2 linked regions of the Schizosaccharomyces pombe genome follow. The gene in region 2 interacts genetically with the main gene of each other region. Each region holds a gene or a part of one and is shown on either strand. Other genes may lie near its edges.

Region 1 (5,671 bases), 630 kb from region 2:
CACATATTAGAGCAGTTGTCTGCTAAGGTATTTATATTTAACTATGGATAATGACTTTTCTTTGAGCTATATAAATTTAATGATTAAAATGTTAAAAAGGGATCAGCTAAATTTAAAGTTAAGTTTTTAGTTTAAGTCAATTGGTCCCTCCGTTTCAAATCCCAGTTTTTCCCATAACTGCTTAGGGTTTTCCAAGGAATCAGTAATTAAATGCCATAAATCATAAAACATTTTCTTTCTGTTTGAGAATCCTTTTTTTGCAAAATCGTAGTTTTTATCAGTCTTTTGCATTGCTTCCTTGGAAATTTGTTTAACGGTACCATTTCGAAGAGATTCGAGTTTTGAGCTGGTTTCTTCAATTTCTTTATCAATGCTCTGAATTTTTTCACGAATTTCGGCTGGACTGAGTGAGTTATTTAAAGCTTGTAATTCTTTTAGAGTTAGCATAAAACAAGTGCTGTGTACGCTCAAAACAAATGAACGATACCATCAATAAAACTTTGATCTGTTTTAAATCATGCATATTATGTGAAGTATCATTCTACATTTTAAAGAATAGCATTTATTTACTGACCAATGCATTTCTCTTTGTATAGAGTTTTAACAACTGAAACCTCATCTTTTAGTTCTTGAATTTGCTTCTCCATTTCAGCCAATTCTTCAGGAGTAGCAGCTGCCAAGTCATCTTGAAGACAAACGAACACACTTTGTTTTCCTCAGTAATCGTTAGTAATCTGTTTAACTAATTTTTCAGTACCATATAGTTTCCCATGGATTAGTCCAGTGTCGCGTAGCTGCTCCAATGCTTTCTGCGCGACCTGTTTACTGACAACATTTTTCAAATTAGCACTAACGTCAGCTTTTAACAAAATTGTCAGCTTCGATTTTTTTAATGTATGTTCTTACTTGCAGAATAGGGACGATTCGTTTTTCGTAAATACTCGTAAACAAGTTTTTCAGCTGCGATTGATTAGCTGAATACCAATGCCTTTTGTCAATATTATACCTTCCTCTCCTTTAATAGGTTTCGCTTTTACTTCTTTCGCCTTAGCCATTTGCTACAATTGCGATGTGTGAGGAAAATAGTAAAAGCGCGATGTAGCATCAAACATTTATATATAATATTTACGCGTGGCGGAGACAACGCGTTTTCCCCAAGCCATTCTCCTTTGTTCTTAGCTAAACTAAGGAAGAAAATCCATGAGAAAGGATTTTAACTATTTTACGCACCTATATAAAGTACTCATAACGATGGGTTGAATTGCGCATCGTGTCAATGAAAGAAGGTTGCATAGGATAGTGAGACATTAGTACAAAGAATTCGATTCCTAAAGCTATGCTAGAAATTTTATTAAATTAAATAATTTCCAACCTTGCGAAGGGCTATATTATAGTATGTTTGTACTTTTTTAGCATATTCGGCAACGTCAAAAACACTTCACAAATTGAATGAAACCGATATCGTCGAATACTACGAAGCGCTTTTGAGAAACGTTTAAGCTACACTCTTGATTTTGCATCTAATACCTATTATTAAGTACTGTTCTCTGTAAACATACAAATCTGTTTCCTTTTTAGAAAAGCACAAATTTCCTGTCTGTAAATGCGATAAGTCTTTGAAGACCATTGTGAAAAGATTCAAAACAATGGCCGAATGACTCTTTAAAATACATTCCTTTCTTCAACTAAATCCTTGGTATTTTCTTTCTTTAAAAATCATAATTTTAACAAGAAAATATATGGAGCTAACAGACAAACATCTGAACATTCGCAGAGTAACTTAGTAAACATTAGAAAGGAAGAGCTAACGAGTGTTGTTATGCCATTGCTAGTTTACTATAGGAAAAGTATCATCTGTTTCATGATATTTATATAAACAAAATTATGCAAAACCTGTCTTTTTACAATAATTTAACTTAAATAGTTATATATTTGTTAATGAATACTGAAAATGTTGTCAGGATATATTACATCCTCGACATCACACTACCTTATATGTTTGTTAACTTGTCTTCCGCTTACACCAAAACATGAGTACTGCTTCCAATAGGGTTTCCACACAAATTGTGGATGAACATAAACAATTCAACAATGAATTACCAAAGTTTATGCAAAGCGTAGGACTGTTAGATGCTGGTTTCAACTATCATGTTGTTGCCGTTTTGGGTTCCCAATCTACTGGCAAGAGTAAGTAGATTAAAATCAACTTGAGAGTTCTATATCCAACCAATGTTATAACATCCTTTTAAATTGGATACTTAAAGCTTTCACTGAGCAAATTTGATTAACTCTATGATTAGGTACATTGCTAAATAATTTATTTGGGACTTCATTTTCAGTAATGGATGCTTCCAAAAGGCAACAAACTACTAAAGGTAAATCTATTATTTCTTTTTAATTAAAACATCTGAGCTTGCTGCTAATTTTTGTTAGGTATTTGGTTGTCGAAGGCAAACAATTCGCCTATTCTTGTAATGGATGTAGAAGGCACCGATGGTAGAGAGCGCGGTGAAGATCAGGTAAGATTTTAATGCGAACTAATTTGTTACTATTAGTTACACATTAGTATTTCCTTTACTCATAATTGATCAATATTTTCTTTTGGAGTCATTACTAACCAACCTAGGATTTTGAAAGAAAATCAGCTTTATTTTCCATTTCAACTAGTGAAGTAATTATCGTTAATATGTGGGAAAATCAGGTTGGTCTATACCAAGGCTCAAACATGGCATTACTTAAAACAGTACTAGAAGTCAATTTACAACTTTTTCATAACAAAAAAGAAAGGTGCTTGCTTCAATTTGTTATTCGGGATTTTTTGGGAAATACTTCAATGGAAAATTTAGCAGATACTATTATGACCGATTTGAATAACATTTGGGCATCCCTTTCGAAACCAGAAGGATTCGAAAATTCCGTAATTAATGACTTTTTTGATGTTGGCTTCACTGGTTTACCACATAAGATTTTATGTTCTGATGCTTTCAGTGAAGCTGTTGATAGTTTGCGTGAAAGATTTGTGGATAACAATAATTCTGATTACATATTTAATGTGAGTTATCATAAAAAAATCCCCGCTGATGGTTTTTCTCTTTATACTCGTGAGATATGGGACACCATTGAAAACAACAAGGACCTTGATTTACCTACACAACAGCAATTGCTTGCTCAATATCGTTGCGATGAGATTATTACTGAAGTAATGGAACCTTTTTCTACTGCTTGTACTATTTTACAAAAAGAGTTTTTACCCGGTAATTTATGCAAGGACCTTCCTACCAAGCTCTTAAACATGTTTGAAACTGTTATCGAAGCTTATGATCGACAGGCTAGTAGATACAACGTGCATATCTATCAAAAGAAAAAGCAGGAGCTTATTGCTTCGGTAGATTCTCATCTTTATGTATTTTTCCAAGCCCAGTTGAACGCTCTACACAAGGAGCTTATTAAATCATTTTTTGACGCCTCAAATGAATTTCCCTCTGATACGCCTTTTAAAGAATCATCTTCTATTAAAATTAACGAACTTGTCAACAAAATGCGTGAGGAAGGTGAATCTTTGTCTTTACCACATGTTCACTGGGATGTTGATCCATTTATTCTAAAATTATCGGAAGAGTTAACCCAAAATTCCGAAACGCTTTGTAAGGAAAAGTTGAAAGAGAAGTTGGAAGAGTTGTTTACTGGGTTCGAGTTTGAAGTTTCGGAAGCTGTTGAGGTCGCTTTCCAAAAACTTTCTCATAACGTTTGGGATACGCTTCTCAATGAATTCTTAGCTGCTCAAAATACTACTATTGAAAAAATAAAAAATATTGTTCCTTTTTATGTGGATATTGATGATACTAAAACAACGGAAGAATATATTATCAATTTTAAAAAGAACAGTTGGCTGTTTTTTAGAAAGAAAATTGATTCTGAAATGAGCGAGGTTTTACTACAGCAGCGTTTACGAGTTTATTTTGAAGAACTATTTCGATATGACAGTGATGGGATGCCAAAATTGTGGAAGAAGTCGGGAACGATTGACCGTGATTATCGGGAAAGTTTAACCAAAACGTTAGACTTGATCAACGTTTTGGCCTCTATTAAAGTTTCGGATGGCAATTATCCGGACTTGAACGTTGACATAAAGACTTTGGAGCCAGAGTATACCTCGCCAGCTTCATTTTTTACTATTCTAAATCGTAGACGTGTGTCCGACATATCTGTTAATTTCAAGAGATCTGCGGATTTGATATTTATGGACTGCAAACGTTCCGTAATCAATACAACCACCAGAATCCCCCCATACTTTTGGGTATTGCTAATAGTCCTTGGTTGGAATGAATTTATGGCTATTCTCCGCAATCCATTCGTTTTTATGATCCTTATGTTTGGAGGTACTGTGGTTTATGGTTTATATATTTCTGGCTTAATTTGGCCTGCGAAGATGGTTTTGGAACGGGCCACTAACAATCTGGTTGATTTAGCTACAGATAGATTTTCTAATACTTATCAAGAGCAAGTTCAACAAAGAGCTATGCAGAGGACCGAGAAAAGCGGTTCACCAGTTGCATCAGCCGATGACGCCGAAGCAGAAAAAACTGCGCTTTCATGATTCGTCTGCTATAAAGAATAACGAAATTGTGGCATTTAAAATTCACCTGTATAAATCGCTCACTGGATTTTTTTATTAAGTTACTGTCTGATTGATAGACTAATGTTTGAGCAATGATGAACCTATTAACCTGATATTTTACTATTGCTTCCTTTTCAGTTGCTGTAAAAAGTCACTGTCCTGGAACAATTGTATCGTTTATTTCAGTTCTAGGTAGCCTTACCACTTTGGTGTATGCTCAATCTCTATACTTAATGAAAAATGGTTTTACAGCTTGATCATGTACATATCCTGAATAATCTTAGTAATGTATAGTAACACATAATTGGTTTTATTGCAATTTCCATTGCTGCAATAAATGCATTGTTATTCTTCAACCTATACCAAGCATTTGAATTTTATAATTTAACTGCATTTTTTAGGCAATCGTTTACAGTGAAAAAATCTGCAGTTACGATAGTGCATGTAATGAGACTGTTTAAGAATGATTTTTTTTCGAAGATAGCATTTATTAGTGAATAAAGTTGGCCGAAGATATACTGAATGTCTGTACAAGAAAACCAAGTCGAATTTCTAGAACACAGTCAACTATGAATTAGTTTCAACCATATCAGCAACCATGAATTGTGATGTTGGTGTTAGAAATTTTCTGTAAGGACTTCATTCTGACGATGATTTCATTCTCGTCAGATCAATGTACCACCACGCCTAGAAGTGAGTGTGTATTTGCTAGGTTACTTGAATTTAAAGGAAACTATTAGCATTGAAGAATTGAATAGTCATTATCATTAGTCAACCCTTTTGAGTTAACAGTCAATAAGAAGGATTGGGAATTCACCATTCATTTTGGCTCTGCCAATTTTCGTTCAGTCATAAAACTCATCTAGAGAAATTTCTGCAAAGATTAAACGTGAGATTCTTTGCAATGTCTAATACAGGTTCCGCCCGTACTGAGGAATTTACCAAAGGAACTGGTTATGAGGCTACTAAACCCAACAACGATACTGACGATGATGCTAAGCAGAATTATCCGTCAAAGGAACCACATATGAAACTTGGCGATTATACAGAAGA
Region 2 (5,422 bases):
GTGAGTGAATCAAATATTTTAATCATAATTACCAGCTTAAACTTATATATAAAAGTAACGTGTCACTTGAGAACCTAGCAGCTGTAAAAATTGCAGTCCTTTAAGTTTACTACTGTTCTTCACCAGAACTAATTGTTTATGGTTTGAATTTCTATTTATCTATTTTATTGAGCGTTTTAGCATGCCAAAATTTAAGGGCCCTGGACTTTCTGTGCTGAAGAAAAAAATTCGCGACAATGAGAGATTATTGAAAAAGGTGTGTAATTTTTTTGCTGGTTTAAAAACATCTGCGGTTTCAGTGTGTAATAAATATTACCTTCCTTTTTATGTTAATGAATAAGAAAACTAACTTCCTTTAAGGAGAATTTGCCTGCAAACATTCGTGTTGAACATGAACGAGCTCTTTTGGGTCTACAAGAGCAGTTGTCTATGGCACAGTTAGAGCATAAAAAGCAAAAGATTTTTGAAAGATACAAAAAAGTTCGATTTTTTGGTATGAAACATATATAAAAACAGCATTTTTTGTTCAGTGAACTTGCTTACTGATTTTCTCAGAACGTAAAAAAGCAGAACGACGTATTAAACAATTGGAAAAATCTTTGAAGGATGAAACTATGGATGATGAGAAACGCAAGCAGTGTGAGAAATCGATGCGTAAATGTCAAATTGATCTTATGTATATTAAAGTATGTTTGTATTTTCGACTTCATTTCAACTATCAACTTGGCTAAGATACTAACCTATTTAGGAATACCCCCCTTTAACAAAGTATGTTTCACTCTACGCAGAAGGCACATCTGAACAGACCGAAGAAACTCGAAATCGCATTTGGGCCGAGATGGAAGAACGCTTTAATAGTGGCAGAAAACACAAAATACCATCTTCAGGTTCCAACAGGGTTCCTGTACAGGAAAAAAGTTCAACTGGTGGTGATTTGGAAGATGAATTTTTGCAAAGATAAATGAAAACTTGGATTGAGGTTTTGGAAATAAAGGGATTAAATAGACGAAACTGTAATAATATGATTCATTCTTTTTAATAAAGGTTGTGAAGTTTCCATATGAGTTATCGAGCAAGGTATTCTTTTTATGCAAGTTTATTTAAATTTTTTCTATGTCATATTGCAATGGGATTTGCTAGGGTACCAAAAATAGAACTTGTGGGAGAGAAGCTTTTGGATCCTAAGGTTCACTGAAGATATTTTTCACATATTTCATTCTATAATCTAATATGCTAAAATTCGAATGATATTTCATGGAATATCAAATTAATAAAAATATAAATTTACAAGAATTTAAGTAAAAACAAAAAATTAGGACTTTCATTTTGTTCTGTTTTAGGTGGTCGAATTATTAGACAGTTTAATAGTCTTTATCATTGCAGCAGTGTTTTTAAGAGCTCTTAGATGGACTTTCGGTTTTATCATCACAGTACCCTGTTATTTGCCTGGCAAAAAGTTACCTAGTGGGGGTTTAAAAATCAACACCAGTATGTAGTATATACATTTTATAATAATTATTTTTACATTTGCTTCTATAGATTGGTATATTTGAATTTATGGGTTTAAGACCTCAATAATATGGTGTAGTATATTGACTTTGCGCCCTTGGTGGTGTCCACGGATACCTAACCTCCGCACCACACGAAGTTACGACTTGTTTAGTGTCGATATGGCTGAGGGCACAAGCCAAAGGCCATTAACGCCTTTGTCGCAGGCATTTTTGTCAACTAATACTCTTTCTCCTGCTTCTTCCCCTTTAACTTTCCATTCTGAGGCTGCATCTCTGCGTAGAAAACGGTCCAACTTTTTCCCCAAATTAGATGAATTAAATGGAGCTCAAGATGAAGAAATGAGAGGTCTTAATATTCCTGGAGGATCAGGATATCTCGAGAACCGATATGGTCGTGATAAGTTTACGTTTTCTGATGCAGCCGTTAACAGTGCTGGAATGGGAGGGTCTGGCATATTTTCCCACAACAATGCAGATGATGGTTTGGGTGATGGTTCTTCTACGGTTTTACCAAGTTCCCTTAAACAAATGCTGGATCCTGAAATTTCAACTGCCAATAATCCATCTGCAAAGCCTCGTCGAACTCGTCTTCAAACTGCTTGGAAAGAAGCAACTAATTCAGCAGGCCTTTCTCTCCGGTCTGCAAGTGCTTTAGATGTACTCAAAAATTCTGGACCTGCTACTACCTCATTACTTTCCTCAACAACATACCCTTTTGATAGTTTAAATGCATTCAACGAACCATCCCATTCACATGTACCAAACTCAGCTTCTAGCACTGCTCTGTCTAGAGGTATGAGCAACTCTGTAACTTTGACGGCACCCCCTGAACCTGATGAAGAGACCATTCCTACCGCGATTGTTATTAAAAATATTCCATTCTCCTTGAAGAAAGAAGTGTTGTTTAAAGTGTTCACTGCATTAGACATCCCACGTCCATACGCTTTTAATTATCATTTTGATAACGGAGTTTTTAGGGGCCTTGCCTTTGCTAATTTCCATTCTCCAGAGGAAGCCAAAACGGTTGTGCAAGTTTTGAATGGCTATGAAATTACTGGTCGTCGTCTTCGTGTTGAATGGAAGCGTCAACTACCGCCTGCGGAGCGTGAACGTGTTGAGCGTGGTAAACAAGAGAAACGCGCTGTAGAAGAACGAAAAAATCAATTGAAATCTCCGTTTTCTGTTGCCAATATAGGTGCTGGCATTGATTTTGATTTGAATGATCCAGCTATACTCAATGTATATTCTCATATCTTGTTATTTTATTATCGCAGCGATAACACTAATGATCTTGTATTTGATTCTTCAACCACCCAGGAAGAACGTCGGGTTGCTGCCTTATTAGCTTCCCGTCTCAATCTCAATCATTCAGTTACTGGTGACGGTGAAGCTAAGCAAGTGGTTATTACCATGCCTAGTACTCATTTTACTCCCGCTAATAATTCGAGTGCTAACCACTCTCCTTTGATGGCCCCAAACGCCAGTACTTTAAATCCTTCTTCTTTAGGTGCTTCCAATTTGAGCCAACCAAGTCTTGCAAATCACTTGAGCTCCTCTGGTTTATTTGACAATGGTCTTTTCTCGTCCGGTGGTCTTTCTAGTAATTTTTCAAGTCTTAGACGACCCGCTCCCTCTATGCATCTTGCGGATAGCATACGTTCTCTCAGAGGACTAAATGATTCTAAAGCCTTTTCCGACATACGTAGTATGCCAGCTACTCCGTTAGAACTTGCTACTCCTTTTGCTAATTTAAATGTTTCCTCTCCACTGGATCGCAATGCGACTAATTCATCAAATACTTTAAACGGTAGTGCGATGAACGATTATTTTGCAAGCCTTACTCCATCAAACACCGGTGCTATTGGATCCAGAACTTTTACAAAGAATTAGTCTTGGATTTTTTGTTTTTCCCTGCTTTTGATTAATCTTGTTTTGGCTATGTCTCGGGTTTTATTAAGTTTCATTTACCTTACGATAATAAGCGCTTTCAAGCAAATTTATACTTTGTACATAAAAACGACGAGTGAAATTATCTCAATGAATTATCCATTTTTACGACCTAGTGTTCAATTGAGGACATGATTTTCATGCTTATATCGTTTACATACTCACTTCGGATGTGCATGTGATCGGGCTCATGCTTTTAAACTATAATGTGATTCTTGTAAAACGAAAAGGATTTAATTTAATAGATGATATTTTTCTCTCTTCAAAGTCACGTTTATGATTATTTTGAGAGGAATAAAATGGAATTTTCTTTTGTGAGATTTTTTTAAACTTTTGTATCGCAAATCCGGTTTGACGATTCGTATACTGGGATACGATGCTTGAGCTATACAGCAAAAGTCTCAAATAAAATTTACGATAACCGATCTTACGTGGGATGTTAATGGTGTTATTTGCAATAATTTGTTGTTTTGATTGTGTTTTGTTCTTATGTGTAGGACCTTTCGTTACTATCAATACCTTTTCAATTTCTATATCTCATATGTTTTGTACGGACCCAGCTTGTTCACGTTAGTGTCACTCGGTTTTTAACTATTACGAATGATGGCTTCATTTTAATGGCTGTTTGGCTAATTGTGCCTAAATTCTTTTCCGTGTTATTGATTTGATAATGTGTTAAAGAATTCAATTTCGATTATGAGAGTTCGGTTGTCATTTGTATGATTTTTTTCGTCAAGATATGATTGCACTATTTTTTTTTTGTTATTATTATTTTTTTTCGCACTGTTTTTAGTGGATACTTGATGATTTTGTCTAAACGTATCTCGTATCTGCTGTATCGTTTAGTATTACTTTTTAAATAAGTATAGAACATTTACGACTTTTTAATTTGATAAATTGAGTTGATCTTTCTTATTTGAATAATCACGAAGAAACGGCACATTGACCATAGTCGAGCACCGCATTTTTTTTAGAGGTTTTAATGACTGTAAATCGACTAAATGAAAACGCTCCCCGTTCTTGCTCTATATGTTTTAATTTTTTAGAAGCCGTTTAGCGATAAACAATGCAATACACTATTTTTCGATATTTTTCTTCAAGAAGCTACCAAACCTATTCTTAAAATTTGGTCGCTTTTCTATTGGCTATTTGCCGGCATGTCAATCTTTATCCCATCAAAGTTCTTTCTAGAATATCAGGCAGTCACAGTATATATAATGTCTATTATAGCTAACTTATCGTCTGCCTAGCCTTGTTTGGAATTTCATTAAGCGGAAAATAGTGAAGAGTATTTCACGTATTTTAAAACCAATAATATATCTAAAAGCTGCAAGCATTTATTTTTGCAGGGACAGCTAGCTGGTTATATTCCTAACGTGTGGGTTGTATTTGCGTTAGATAACTTTACATTTCTTTATATCTCTTTTTGGGTGCATTAAAAAAAACCATTTTTTACAACTTCATTTTATTTCATTAATTAAACATAATGGTGAGCTTCCTTTCTTCCAGTGTATCTCGTCTACCTTTAAGAATTGCTGGTCGTCGAATCCCCGGCAGATTTGCCGTCCCTCAAGTTCGTACATATGCTAAAGACTTAAAATTTGGTGTTGATGCTCGCGCATCTTTACTCACCGGTGTCGATACTCTTGCTCGTGCCGTATCTGTAACTTTGGGACCAAAGGGCCGTAATGTCTTGATTGACCAACCTTTTGGTTCCCCTAAAATCACTAAGGACGGTGTAACTGTCGCCCGTAGTGTAAGTTTGAAAGATAAATTCGAAAACCTTGGTGCAAGACTAGTTCAGGATGTTGCAAGCAAGACTAATGAAGTTGCTGGTGATGGTACCACTACTGCTACTGTTTTAACTCGTGCCATCTTTTCTGAGACTGTTCGTAACGTGGCTGCCGGTTGCAACCCTATGGACCTTCGCCGGGGAATTCAACTTGCTGTTGATAACGTCGTCG

What was found.
Region 1: mutations in cip2 (region 2) and sey1 together harm fitness more than expected from each alone (negative genetic interaction), as found in Schizosaccharomyces pombe (one large-scale study listed by BioGRID).

The regions. Positions count from the first base shown.
Region 1 is NC_003424.3:973,093-978,763, reverse strand, and holds sey1 (GTP-binding protein Sey1), read left to right. Parts: upstream 1-2,025; 5' UTR 2,026-2,030; coding exon 2,031-2,187; exon of another isoform or gene 2,188-2,229; intron 2,230-2,300; coding exon 2,301-2,375; intron 2,376-2,433; coding exon 2,434-2,519; intron 2,520-2,626; coding exon 2,627-4,597; 3' UTR 4,598-4,921; downstream 4,922-5,671. Other genes in the region: meu13 (homologous-pairing protein 2), read right to left, coding at 127-431, 575-715, 758-859, 907-960, 1,007-1,055; SPOM_SPAC222.13C (6-phosphofructo-2-kinase), read left to right, coding at 5,523-5,671.
Region 2 is NC_003424.3:341,378-346,799, reverse strand, and holds cip2 (RNA-binding protein Cip2), read left to right. Parts: upstream 1-1,628; 5' UTR 1,629-1,670; coding exon 1,671-3,401; 3' UTR 3,402-4,710; downstream 4,711-5,422. Other genes in the region: efg1 (rRNA-processing protein), read left to right, coding at 182-256, 361-493, 556-686, 749-961; protein Mcp60, read left to right, coding at 4,945-5,422. UniProt on the Schizosaccharomyces pombe protein: Regulates global gene expression after oxidative stress. Interacts and stabilizes mRNAs and may regulate their transition between different cytoplasmic components after oxidative stress.